Caenorhabditis elegans: one gene and its partner. The protein of the gene in region 2 purifies or fractionates together with the protein of the main gene of each other region. This does not show direct contact. Each region holds a gene or a part of one and is shown on either strand. Other genes may lie near its edges.

Evidence for each region.
Region 1: the proteins of mppa-1 (region 2) and Y75B8A.7 fractionate together in Caenorhabditis elegans (co-fractionation; one large-scale study listed by BioGRID). This does not show direct contact.

Annotation. Positions count from the first base shown.
Region 1 is NC_003281.10:12,151,055-12,158,918, reverse strand, and holds the start of Y75B8A.7 (U3 small nucleolar ribonucleoprotein MPP10), read right to left. Parts: upstream 6,021-7,864; 5' UTR 6,005-6,020; coding exon 5,934-6,004; intron 5,865-5,933; coding exon 5,684-5,864; intron 4,817-5,683; coding exon 4,382-4,816; intron 3,230-4,381; coding exon 3,072-3,229; intron 1,864-3,071; coding exon 1,514-1,863; intron 74-1,513; coding exon 1-73.
Region 2 is NC_003279.8:1,748,038-1,752,631, reverse strand, and holds the start of mppa-1 (Mitochondrial-processing peptidase subunit alpha), read left to right. Parts: upstream 1-1,576; coding exon 1,577-1,897; intron 1,898-3,936; coding exon 3,937-4,345; intron 4,346-4,594. Other genes in the region: Y71G12B.10 (hydroxymethylglutaryl-CoA lyase), read right to left, coding at 1-28, 773-985, 1,047-1,139. UniProt on the Caenorhabditis elegans protein: Substrate recognition and binding subunit of the essential mitochondrial processing protease (MPP), which cleaves the mitochondrial sequence off newly imported precursors proteins.

The sequences.
Region 1 (7,864 bases), on a different chromosome or scaffold from region 2:
ACTTTTTTCACTCGAATCACATCATCCCAGGCTTTATCACGAATTCGTTGCTTGATAAGTGACTCGAGGCGGTCTGGAAAAAAACTCTATTTTTGCCTATTTTATGGCTGAAATTAAAAAAAAAAAAAAAAAAACGGAATTTTTAAGCTAAAATCTCGAAAATTTCCAATTTTTCCATGTCATATCAGCTATTTTTTGCCTATTTTATATTTGAAATTTAGAAAAAAATAAAATTTTGCGCATCGCACAGAAAAAGAGGCAGTTTTCGTCTTAAAATTTGAAAAAAAAAACGGCATTTTTAAGCTAAAGCCTCGAAATTTGCGAAAAAAATACTATTTTTTGCATATTTTATGGTTGAAATTTTACGAGCAATCCGTCGTGAATCAGCATCGCACAGAAAAATAGGCGAAGCCCCTAATTTTGCAACCCTGCGGCACGGTTTTAATTTTTTTAAATCAATTTTTGAATTTAATTATGTTATTTTCTTTTTCGAATGAAAATGCTATTATGAGGATATTAAAATTAACACCGGTCAAAAAAGGAGGAAAAACCGTGCGGCAAGGTTGCGAAATTAGGCTCCGCCTCTTTTTCTGTGCGACGGTTTCAAATCTCAAATTTCGCCAATTTTTCCGTGTTACGGAGGCTCTCTTTGCCTATTTTATGGTTGAAATTTGGCGATTTCCATTCGTAAATTTTACAAAAAGCAGCATTGTCGCACAGAAAATAGGCGGAGCCTAATTTCGCAACCCTGTGGCACGGTTTTCATTTTTTAAATCAATTTTTGAATTTAATTGTTTTATTTTCGTTTTTCGAAAGAAAATAAAACAAGTAAAATCGAAACTTCATTGGAAAAAAACCAACAAAAAGAAAGAGGAAAAACCGTGCGGCAAGGTTGCGAAATTAGGCTCCGCCTCTTTTTCTGTGTTAATTTTAATACAATTTTAATAAATTTGTTTATAAAATTTTTGCAACTTTTCAAAAAACTAATTTCCTGCCGAAAAAATTGTTTTATTCAAAACTTTGAAAAGAAAAAAATCGTGATTTTTCAATTTTCGAACTCCCCGACCAATCAGCACCTTCAAACTCCGCCCACTCCATCTGATTGGGCCAAAAATGGGCGGAGCAAATCGCTGATTGGTCGCAGTTTCAAAAGTTGGATTTTTTCGATTTTTTTGATAAAAAATCGCAAAATGACAACTCCCCGACCAATCAGCACCTTCAAACTCCGCCCACTCCATCTGATTGGTCCAAAAATGGGCGGAGCTAATCGCTGATTGGTCGCAGTTTCAAAAGTTGGATTTTCCCGATTTTTTTTGATAAAAAATCGCAAAATGACAACTCCCCGACCAATCATCACCTTCAAACTCCGCCCACTCCATCTGATTGGTCCAAAAATGGGCTGAGCTAATCGCTGATTGGTCGCAGTTTCAAAAAGTGAGATTTTCCCGATTTTTTTCGCTTTTCCCATAGTTTTTCTTCTAAAATTTCCAATTTCCAGCCATCATCAGCGTACCTGTAAACTCTTCGGTAACCTCTGGAGCACGTTTTGCTCCATGATCAAAATCCACATGCTTCTCCAGCAGGGTATTCTGATCTCTCTGATCGGCGGCAACCTCTCCGGAGAGCTCCCACGATTTTGGAGCCAAATTCTCCTCCTCAAGCTTAGCGATTCGTTCCTTCATCTTGGACTGACGCTTGGCAAACGCCGATTCTTCCTTCGGCTCTTCGAGGTCGGCTCCGAGGAGCACTGGCTCATCCTCTGGGGGCTCTTCTTCATCATTAATGTCTTCTTGCTCCTCGTCTTCAACTTCTTCTTCTTCAGGTTCCTCATCCATTGCGAAACGAACGCGTTTTTTGTTCTTTCTGGAAGAACATTTTTGAATTGAATTTTTCGCTTTAAAAATTTATTAAAAAATAGTCCTAAATTCGGAAAAATCACAAAAAAGGCGATTTTTTAAATTTGGATTTTAAAATTTCAAATTCCCCCCAAAATGAAAACTCCCCGACCAATCAGCGCCTTCAAACTCCGCCCACACACCCTGATTGGTGCAAAAGTGGGCGGAGCAAATCGCTGATTGGTCGTAGTTTCAGAAAGTTGGATTTTTCCGAGTTTTGCGAAAAATTCGCAAAATTAGCATTTCGACCAATCAGCTCCTTCAAACTCCTCCCACACACCCTGATTGGTGCAAAAAAGGGCGGAACAAATCGCTGATTGGTCGCAGACGGAATTTGATCAAAATTGGAAAAATCACGTTTTTAAAAATCGATTTTTTCACTTTTGTTTGGATTCCCCCAAAATGAAAACTCCCCGGCCAATCAGTGTCGTCGAACTCCGCCCACTTCGTCTGATTGGTCCAGAGATGGGCGGAGCGAGTCGCTGATTGGTCGATGAGTTCTCATTTGGAGGGAATTCAAAACATCGCGTTTTGCAACTTTTTTCGCAATTTTTTCGGCGTTCCTAGAAAAAAGATTGAAAATTGGGATTTTTAAATTTTTTTCACTTATTTTCGGCAATTTTACAATTTTGTCATGTTGCACCATGTGCTTCCAACGATTTTCATTGAAAAATAGTGTCAAATTGTAGAAAATCACTAAATTTATCCGGAAAATTACATTTATTTCAGCTAGAAAATTCGAAAAATATTTTTTGATTTTTTCAGCTGAAATAAACGTGATTTTTCGGATAAATTTAGTGATTTTCTACATTTTTACAGTATTTTTGGAGAAAAACGAAAAAAAAAATCGCAAAATAATGAAAAATCCATCAATTTTGGCGAAAAAAAAGTGAAAAAAAAATTTCAAATTTCCAAAAATTTAGAAATTTCTAAATATTTTCGGAAATTGCTGAATTTCTACATTTTTTGAAAACTAAAAAACGCAGATTTTCAATATTTTGGCCGAATTTTTTTCAAAATGAGACCGCGACCAATCAGCGATTCGCTCCGCCCACTTTCCAACCAATCAGGTGGAGTGGGCGGAGTTGAAGACGCTGATTGGTTGGGGGATTTTCTCGTTTTTTTCTGTGGTTTTCCGTTTTTTTCTCCAATTCCTCCAAACTACAAACTACAAACCCATCATCAAGTGATAAATCAGCTTTATCTCCAGCCTTCCGTTTCTTATCTTTTTCAATTTTTTTCTTCTCTCCATTCATTTTTTCGGTTTCAGCAACTGTCTCACGAGATCCAAAAAAGTCCTCATACGTGTAGTCGGTTTTTCCGTCCCAGCTATCCTGAAATTATTATTTTTTTTTTTTTTTAATTGAAATTTTGAAAAAAACACACACACACACACATTTTCTTAGGGAATTTTCATCGAGATTAATATATTATGGCAGCGAGGCGGTTTTTGAAAACTGAGGTGCAATCGCGCTCCATCGCTAATTGGCCTATTGGGTCTCGTTTGGAACAAGAAAATATGAAGTTTCCAACAACAAAAAATTGTGCAAAACCACAATTTGCCGATTTGCCGGAACTTTTCAATTCTGGCAATTTGCCGATTTGCCCAAAATTTTCATTTTCGGCAAATTGGCGGAAATTTCACAATTCCGCCAATTTACCGGTTTGCCGGATATTTAACAATTCCGGCGATTTGTCGATATGCCGGAACTTTTCAATTCTGGCAATTTACGATTTACCGGACATTTTGCAATTCCGGCAATTTGCCGATTTGCTGGAAATTTCAATTCCGGCAATTTACCGGTTTGCCGGATATTTAACAATTCCGGCAATTTGACAATTTGCCGGAACTTTTCAATTCTGGCAATTTGCCGATTTGCCCAAAATTTTCATTTTCGGCAAATTGGCGGAAATTTCACAAATCAGGCAATATGCCGATTTGCTGGAAATTTTCAATTCCGGCAAGTTGCCAATTTGCCGGAAATTTTAAAATTCCGGCAATTTGTCGATTTGCTGGAAATTTCAATTCCGGCAATTTACCGGTTTGCCGGATATTTAACAATTCCGGCAACTTGACAATTTGCCGGAACTTTCCAATTCTGGCAATTTGCCGATTTGGCCAAAATTTTCATTTTCGGCAATTGCCAATTTGCTGGAAATTTCCAATTATGCCGATTTGCCGGAAATTATCGATTCCGGCAATTTGCCGATTTGCCGGAAATTATCGATTCCGGCAATTTACCAATTTGCCGAAAATTTAACAATTCCGGCAATACTTGTGTTGTGTTGGCGTTGGAGCGCGATTGCACTCTAATTTCGAAATTACGAATTCTGGCCGGGAAAAAGGGGGGCGGAGTTTGCAATTTCTTCGCGCACTTTTTGTGGAAAAAAGTGTGTATTTTTAAAATTGTTTTTGGGCACTTTTTGGCACTTTTCGGCTCATAAAAATCCAAATTTTGCAGATTTTCAGCCATCCAGGTACATACTTCATCCTCAAACATCATTTCCTCATCCTGAGCGGCCTTTTTGCCTCCAGCTCTCTCAGTTTTTTGCAAAAAATCGTGCATCTCGTCAAGATTGAAAAACTGATCGTCCACAATGGATTTCTTGAATTTTTTCGGTTGTTCTGTGGCTTTTTCCACCTCCTCTTTCTCTTCTCCGGCTTCTTCTTCTTCCATTTTCTTCAAATCAGCGTCCAACGTCTTCAGATCACTCTCGCTTAAATTAAAAAGATCGGCTTCATCCTCATCGTCAATCATTTCATCCTCGAGCTCTTCATCTTCCAGCTCTTCCTCATCATCATCGAGCTCCTCTTCGGAGCCGCCATCGGAGCCATCAGAACCATCTTCCGAACCTTCAGAATCCTGAATTTTCGCCGCCACCCGAATATGCGATTTTCCAATCAACTCGGAAAGAAATCCCTGAAATTCGGAGCATTTTCAAGCAATTTTGAGGAAAAAAAAAGTGAAAAAAAACTCCAAAAAATAGCCTGAAATTCAGAAAAAAAAACTCGATTTTTTTCAAAAATTTTCAAAAAAAGTTCAATATTTTTGGAAATTTAGAAATTTTTCGGAAATTGCTAAAAATTTCTAGATTTTTTGAAAATTGTGGAATTTTTAGAAATTTTTTAGGACATTTTTTTCGGGATTTTTAGAAATTTTTTTCAAAAATCCCGAAAATTTAGTTTGAAATTTAAAAACGCAATTTTTTTCAAACTTGTTTGAATTCCCTCCAAAATAAGAATTGCCCGACCAATCAGCGCCTTCAAACTCCGCCCACTTCATTTGATTGGTTCAAAAGTGGGCGGAGCGAATCGCTGATTGGTCGAAGACGGAATTTAACCAAAATTGAAAAATCACGTTTTAAAAATCGATTTTTTAAAATTTTGTTGAATTCCCTTTAAAATAAGGACTGCACGACCAATCAGCGTCTTTGAGCTCCGCCCACTTCATCTGATTGGTTCAAAAATGGACGGAGCGAATCGTTGATTGGTCGGAAACGGAATTTAACCAAAATTCGAAAAAAAAATCGATTTTTTTTCGTTTTTCCTCCGTTTTTTGTACTGAACAATCAGCACCTTCGAACTCCGCCCCTTTCCTCTTATTGGTTCAAAAGTGGGCGGTGCTAATCGCTGATTGGTCGTTCTTCATTTTGGAGGGAATTGGAGGGAATTTCGCCAAAATTGAAAAATAGAACTTTAAAAATCGATTTTTTCGATTTTCTTCTGTGTTTTTTCGGAATTTAAGATTATTTTAGGATTTTTCGAGCAAAATCCCGCGAATAAGCACCTTATATTTCTTATTAATTCCATCTAATTGCTTATTCTGATGCTTCAGATAACTCCAAACGACTTCTTCGTTTTTCGAAACAAATGGAAGTGGAAGATTGTCTTCTGAAGGTTCCAGTGATGTCGACCATTCGTAGACATTCGAAATAACATCGGTTATTTGGTCGGAAAATTTTGATCGACTGAAAAATCAACATTTTATTGATTTTTTAAATTTTTTTTCTATATTTTTTTCGATTAATTATGCCAACCTTTTGAAAAACTTTGTGAAATCCCCGATTTCCGGGATCAAATCCTCCTTTTTTGACTTTGATTTCGTCATTTTTGCAGCGAATTACCTTAAAAATCGATAAATTCCCAAAAAAAAGTTTTACAACTTAAAACCACATAAAATAACGTTAAAAACACGAGAAATCTCAATTTTTACACGAAAATACTGGAAAAATCGTCAAAATAAGTGTAAAAACCAAAAAATTGGTTCAAAATTTCACCGAGAAATGGGAAAACGAGACAGCGGGGGTAAGTGAGAGGGCGAGAGACGACAAGAGTGCCAGAGAGGGGAGAAAAACGAATAATCCCGTTCATATTTGTACTTAGGGCATGGAAAACCTATAAAAGTGTCGGAAAATTGTAGAAAAAAGTGGAAAAATCAGCAGTTTTAAGGTTTTTTGGATTTTTTCTATGTATTGACGGCTTGGCTCCGATTTGAGAGTATTATTTTGGGATTTTCACAGATTTTAGGATTCAATTTAAGTAATTTCAAATTTTTATTAATTTAATCTTGAAAAAATAGCCTTTATCCGCAAGATTTTCGATCAATAAATGTGAAAAAATGGATTAAAAAAGGCGAAAAAAGCCAGAAGTTGAAAAGTGCAAACGCGCCCTGTTGATAAAACAGACAGTATAAAAATAGCGGGAAGTTCAAATTGAAGAATTTCCTTTAAAATGTGAATTTTTCTGAGAAAATTTAGTTTTTAACACAAAATAAAGCGAAATTTTATGAAATTTGTGTTCCCAGCGACTGAAAATATACCGAAATTTAGGATTAAACATGTAATAAACGAGCAAAATTGCCGAAAATTTCCATTTTCGACAAATTGCCGATTTGCCGTTTGCGAAAGTTTTTAAAGAGACTTTTAAAAAGACGGATCCACTTAAAACAAATAATGTTGAAATTCTGAAATTTCCAAAAATGTCAAAACCACAATTTTCTGCAATTGTCGTTTTTTCGGCAAATCGGCAAAATGCAATTTTTAATTCCGGGCAATTTGCGATTTGCCCGAAATTTTAATTTTCGGCAATTGCCAATTTGCCGGAAATTTTCAATTCTGGCAATGTGCCGATTTGCCGGAAATTTTAATTTTCGGAAATTGCCAATTGGCTGGAAATTTTCAACTCCGCCAATTTACCGGAAATTTTCAATTCCGGCAATTTGGCGATTCGCCGATATGCCGGAAAATTTTCAATTCCGGCAGTTTGCCAATTTGGCGGAAATTTTCAATTCCGGCGATTTGCCGATTTGCCAATTTTCCGGAAATTTTCAATTCCGGCAATTTGGCGATTCACCGATATGCCGGAAAATTTTCAATTCCGGCAATTTGCCAATTTAGCGGAAATTTTCAATTGCGGCAATTTGCCGATTTGCCAATTTTCCGGAAATTTTCAATTCCGGCAATTTGCCGATTTGTCAACTTGCCCAAATTTTTCATTTTCAGCAATTGCCGATTTGATGGAAATTTTCAATCCTGGCAATTTGCCGATTTGCCCGAAATTTTCATTTCCGGCAATTGCTGATTTGGTGAAAATTTCTCCAACTCTTCCAAGCTTCAACTTTTTTTTGCAGGAACATTGTTCATCTTCCTTTTCATGTTCGTGTCTTATATTGTTCTGTCCAGAGAGAGAGAGAGTGTCAACACGAAACTGTGTGCCCTGTTTGTATGTCACTATCCACCATCCACTCTATGAAAAAGAAGAAGAAGAAGTCAGGAGTCAAATTACTTTTTCTTGTTTCTCATATCTCAATTCAATTGTCAATTGTCCTGTTGAATATGCTATTGTTATTTGACAAGAAAAACGTGGATATGGTCAAAAATTCACGGATGTGTCTGGCTTCCCTCAGAAATTGAAATGGAAGAGTTTTTGCCGAACTAGGCCAGGCCATATCTGGGGGTAGATTTACGGC
Region 2 (4,594 bases):
CAATCTCTTCGACGACTCCTGTTGCGAGCTGGAAACTTGAGAAATTTGCAATTTTAAAGGTGGAGTAGCGCTAGTGGGGAAATTGCTTTAAAACATGCCTATGGTACCACAATGACCGAATATCATGATTAAAAATTTTTAAAAAAATTTCAAAATTTTATATGATTTTTTGAAAATTGAAAAAATCTCAGTTTTTGCCTAATTCCTATTTGAATTTCCGCCAATTGGATTTGTTCGATGGAGCGCGCTTGCACGTTTTTAAATTTATTTATTTTATTTTTTGTTATTTTCCACCGATTTTTAATGTTTTCAGTGTATTTTTGCTCGAATTTTAGAGAAAAAGCCAAGATAAATTCAAATTTTCGATTAAAAAGCACGCTGACAGGCGTAAATCAGTGAAATTAATTAATTCAGGTTCGAAATCATTTAAAAGCGTTACTTTGTCATTTTTACGCCTGTCAGCGTGCTTTTTAATCGAAAATTTGCATTTATCTTGGCTTTTTCTCTAAAATTCGAGCAAAAATACACCGAAAACATTAAAAATTGGTGGAAAATAACAAAAATAAATAAATTTAAAAACGTGCAAGCGCGCTCCATCGAACAAATCCAATTGGCGGAAATTCAAATAGGAATTAGGCAAAAACTGAGATTTTTTCAATTTTCAAAAAATCATATAAAATTTAGAAAAATTTTTTGAATTTTTTTACTATGATATTCGGTCATCCCCACTAGCGCTACTCCACCTTTAAGCCCTAAAAAATCAATAAAATACCGCGTTTTTGAGGCCAGCGGCGTTTGGAACCAGAACCGGGTAGGAGACACCTTCAAATCTCCGATGTTTCTTGACAATTTCGTTGTGATCAGCCAACTGGGGCACCCATTTCGGTGAGACGAAGCTTGTCGTCTCTACCGTTTGAAATCCGCACTCTGAGAGCCGATCGATGAGCTCGACCTTGATTTCGGTGGGAACGAACTTCTTTTCGGCCTGAAATTAAGAAAATAATGGATTTTTTGCAATTATTTTGCAATTTTCCAGGATAAATTACCTGTAAACCGTCTCGCGCGCCAACTTCCACCACACGAAATCGATTTATTGCTGTGGAGTAGGCACGGTTGGCCAGTAGGCGATTGGGCAGCATTTTTTAGCGCGCCTAAAAATATAAAAATAAGGTTTTCTCCATAAACATTAAAATTCGAGCGGTAAAGCAGAAGAAAACATATGAATTGCTCCTAAAAACTGATGGAAACAATGAGAAACTAAAAGAAAAAAATTATTGAGATTTTTCGATATTTTCTGCGGTTTTTTACTGTAAAGTATCAATATTTATCGTTTAAACAATAAAAATCAATAAAAATCCAATAATTTCAGCTAAAAATCAAAGAAAAATCAAAGAAAAACATAAAAAATAGATAAAAAATAAATAATTTTTATTCGAATCCCAAAAGTCCGCAAACACCGCACACCACATTTGACGACAAATTGCACACATTTATTTATTTAATCATTTTTTATTTATTTTTCTCGATTTTTTCAGTTTTTTACTCGAAATTTATCAAAAATACATTAAATTTTCAGATGCTCCTTCGGAAAAGCATCCCCTACATCAAAATATGCCGAGATATAAGCGCTTCCGTCCGAAATAACAAGGAAATTGCGCAGAAACTCCCGCTCTCCGTGCCTCTGCCAATGGAAAACAACTCCAAATCAATAGAAAAAGGATGCCCGCCAATGGGAAGAAACTCGAGGGTTACTAGACTTCCGAACGGCCTGAAAGTTTGCACAGAAGACACTTACGGCGATTTTGTGACTGTTGGCGTCGCGATTGAGAGCGGCTGCCGCTATGAAAATGGTTTTCCGTTTGGAATTTCGAGAATTGTGGAGAAACTTGCTTATAATGTAGGCTTTTGATAGGAAAAATTATGGAAAATTGGAAAAATTAGAGAAAAATATGATGCAAATCGGGAAAAAATGACGAAATTTGAGTTTTCTCGGGCCAGTTTCGGATTAATTTTTACCCGTTCTCCAAAAACCAATAAAACTCAAAAAATACGTTAAAAAACAAACTTAAAACAGAAATTTGCAACAAAAATTTAAAAAAAAACAGGAATTTCTACTGAAAAAGCTAAATTTTCAAAAAAATAACTTTTTAAAAACTTGGTTGAGTACCAAAATCTGTGGAAATATTTTTAATTGACTCCAAATTTTCCCCTGATTCCGAATATCAATGTGAAAAAATTCAAAAAAATTTCCCTGATTTTATATTTAAGCTTGAAATCGCCGAATTTCATTTGTACCTCGGAAACACTTTTTTTAAATTCGCGCCCAAAAATATTCGCATTGGAGCGCGCTTTGATTGTCTTCATTTAAATAATTTATTTATTTTTCGCCGAGTTCAGTTTTTTTAAAAACCAGTTTCATTAATTTTTGTCGAAAAATATTTTTTCTTAGAAAAACCGATACAGATTCGACAAAAATTAATGAAACTGGTTTTTAAAAAAACTGAACTCGGCGAAAAATGAAGAAAATATTCAAATGAAGAAAATCAAAGCGCGCTCCATGCGAATATTTTTGGGCGCGAATTTAAAAAAGTGTTTTCGAAGTACAAATGAAATTCGGCGATTTCAAGCTTCAATATAAAATCAGGGGAATTTTTTTGAATTTTAATTTTTTTCACATAGATATTCGGAATCAGGGGAAAATTTGGAGTAAATTAAAAATATTTCCACAGATTTCGCTACTCAACCAAGTTTTTTAAAAGTTATTTTTTTGGAAAATTTAGTTTTTTCAGTAGAAATTCCTATTTTTTTCTAAAATTTTTGTTGCAAATTTCTGTTTTTGAAGTTTAATTTTTTGAAAAGAAAATTTTGAATTTCTACGCATTTTTTGGGTGTTTTTGTTTTTTGGAGAACGGGGGTAAAAATTAATCCAAAAATGACCCGAGAAAACTCAAGTTTTGTAATTTTTTCGAAAAAAAAACCCTACAGAGCCAAATTTGCCCCCACAAACCAAAAATTTCCAATAAAAAACTAATTTTTCACAAAAATAAATAAATATATATATATATATATCCATGAGAAAATATCTGAAAATACGGAAAAATTGAAATGTTTCAAAAAAAAACCCTTACAATTAAGAAATTCTTGAAACATATATAGTCGGGTTACTGTAGTAGTACAATAGTGGTACGGTAGGAGTACTGTAGGGTTACGGTAGTTTAGGAAAAATTCGTTATATACATAATATATATACATACTATATATCCAGTATACATAGTATATATCATATATATATAGTTTCAAGAATAACTTAAAGGTGGACTAACGGATAAAATTTTTTATGGCGGTTCAAAATTTCGAAAAAATTACACTGATTTTAGCTAAAATCTCGAATTTTGCCTATTTTTCGGTGTCACATCAGTCCGAAGTTGACTTTTTCGGAATTATCATCCTTTATTGCATATATTGGTAGTTTATCTCATTTAATTTTGTTGATTAAGGTACATTTAAAGCCGATAGGTGACCAAAAATCGTCGAAATTGGTTACCGATCGGCTTTAATTGTACCTTAATCAACAAAATTAAATGAGATAAACTACCAATATATGCAATAAAGGATGATAATTCCGAAAAAGTCAACTTCGGACCGATGTGACACCGAAAAATAGGCAAAATTCGAGATTTTAGCTAAAATCAGTGTAATTTTTTCGAAATTTTGAACCGCCATAAAAAATTTTTGAAAAATTTTTGAGCAGTTTCATCACGAAATTCGTTCATTTGAGAACATTTTGGGTCTATACGTTCAAAATCGTCCGAACCGTTAGTCCTCCTTTAATTGTAAGGTTTTTTTTAATTTTAAAAATTTCCAAAATAGTTTTTTTTTGAAACTCGAAAATTTGTTAAAACTAATTTTTCCCAAAAAAAATTGCAAAATTTCCAGTCATCGGAATCGTTCTCAAGCCGCGACGAAGTCTTTGCAAAACTCGAGGAAAACAGTGGAATTGTGGATTGTCAGAGTACACGTGACACAATGATGTACGCGGCGAGCTGCCATCGTGACGGAGTGGATTCTGTAATTCACGTACTATCCGACACTATTTGGAAGCCAATTTTTGACGAACAAAGTCTCGAACAGGCGAAACTAACAGTTTCCTACGAGAATCAAGATCTACCGAATCGAATTGAAGCCATCGAAATTCTCCTTACTGACTGGATTCATCAAGCGGCTTTTCAGAATAATACTATAGGATATCCGAAATTTGGCAACAATTCGATGGATAAAATTCGAGTTTCTGATGTTTATGGGTTTTTGAGCAGAGCTCATACTCCTCAAAGAATGGTTGTTGGAGGTAATTGTGTTGTACTTCACGAGGAGAGGTTTCGATTTTTTTTTGTTGAAAAATCGCAAAAAAAATGTACAAAAAAAACCGTTGAAAATTAGAGAAAATATGGAAAAATTGAGCTTTTTCAAAAAAAAAACCTTTTCGGAAAATTTTATAATTAAAAAATTCTTACAGTACCTTACAAGTACTGTAAAAACCTTAAAGTTACAGTACTTGACTTACAGTAATCCTACAGTACCCCGACCATATCCCTCC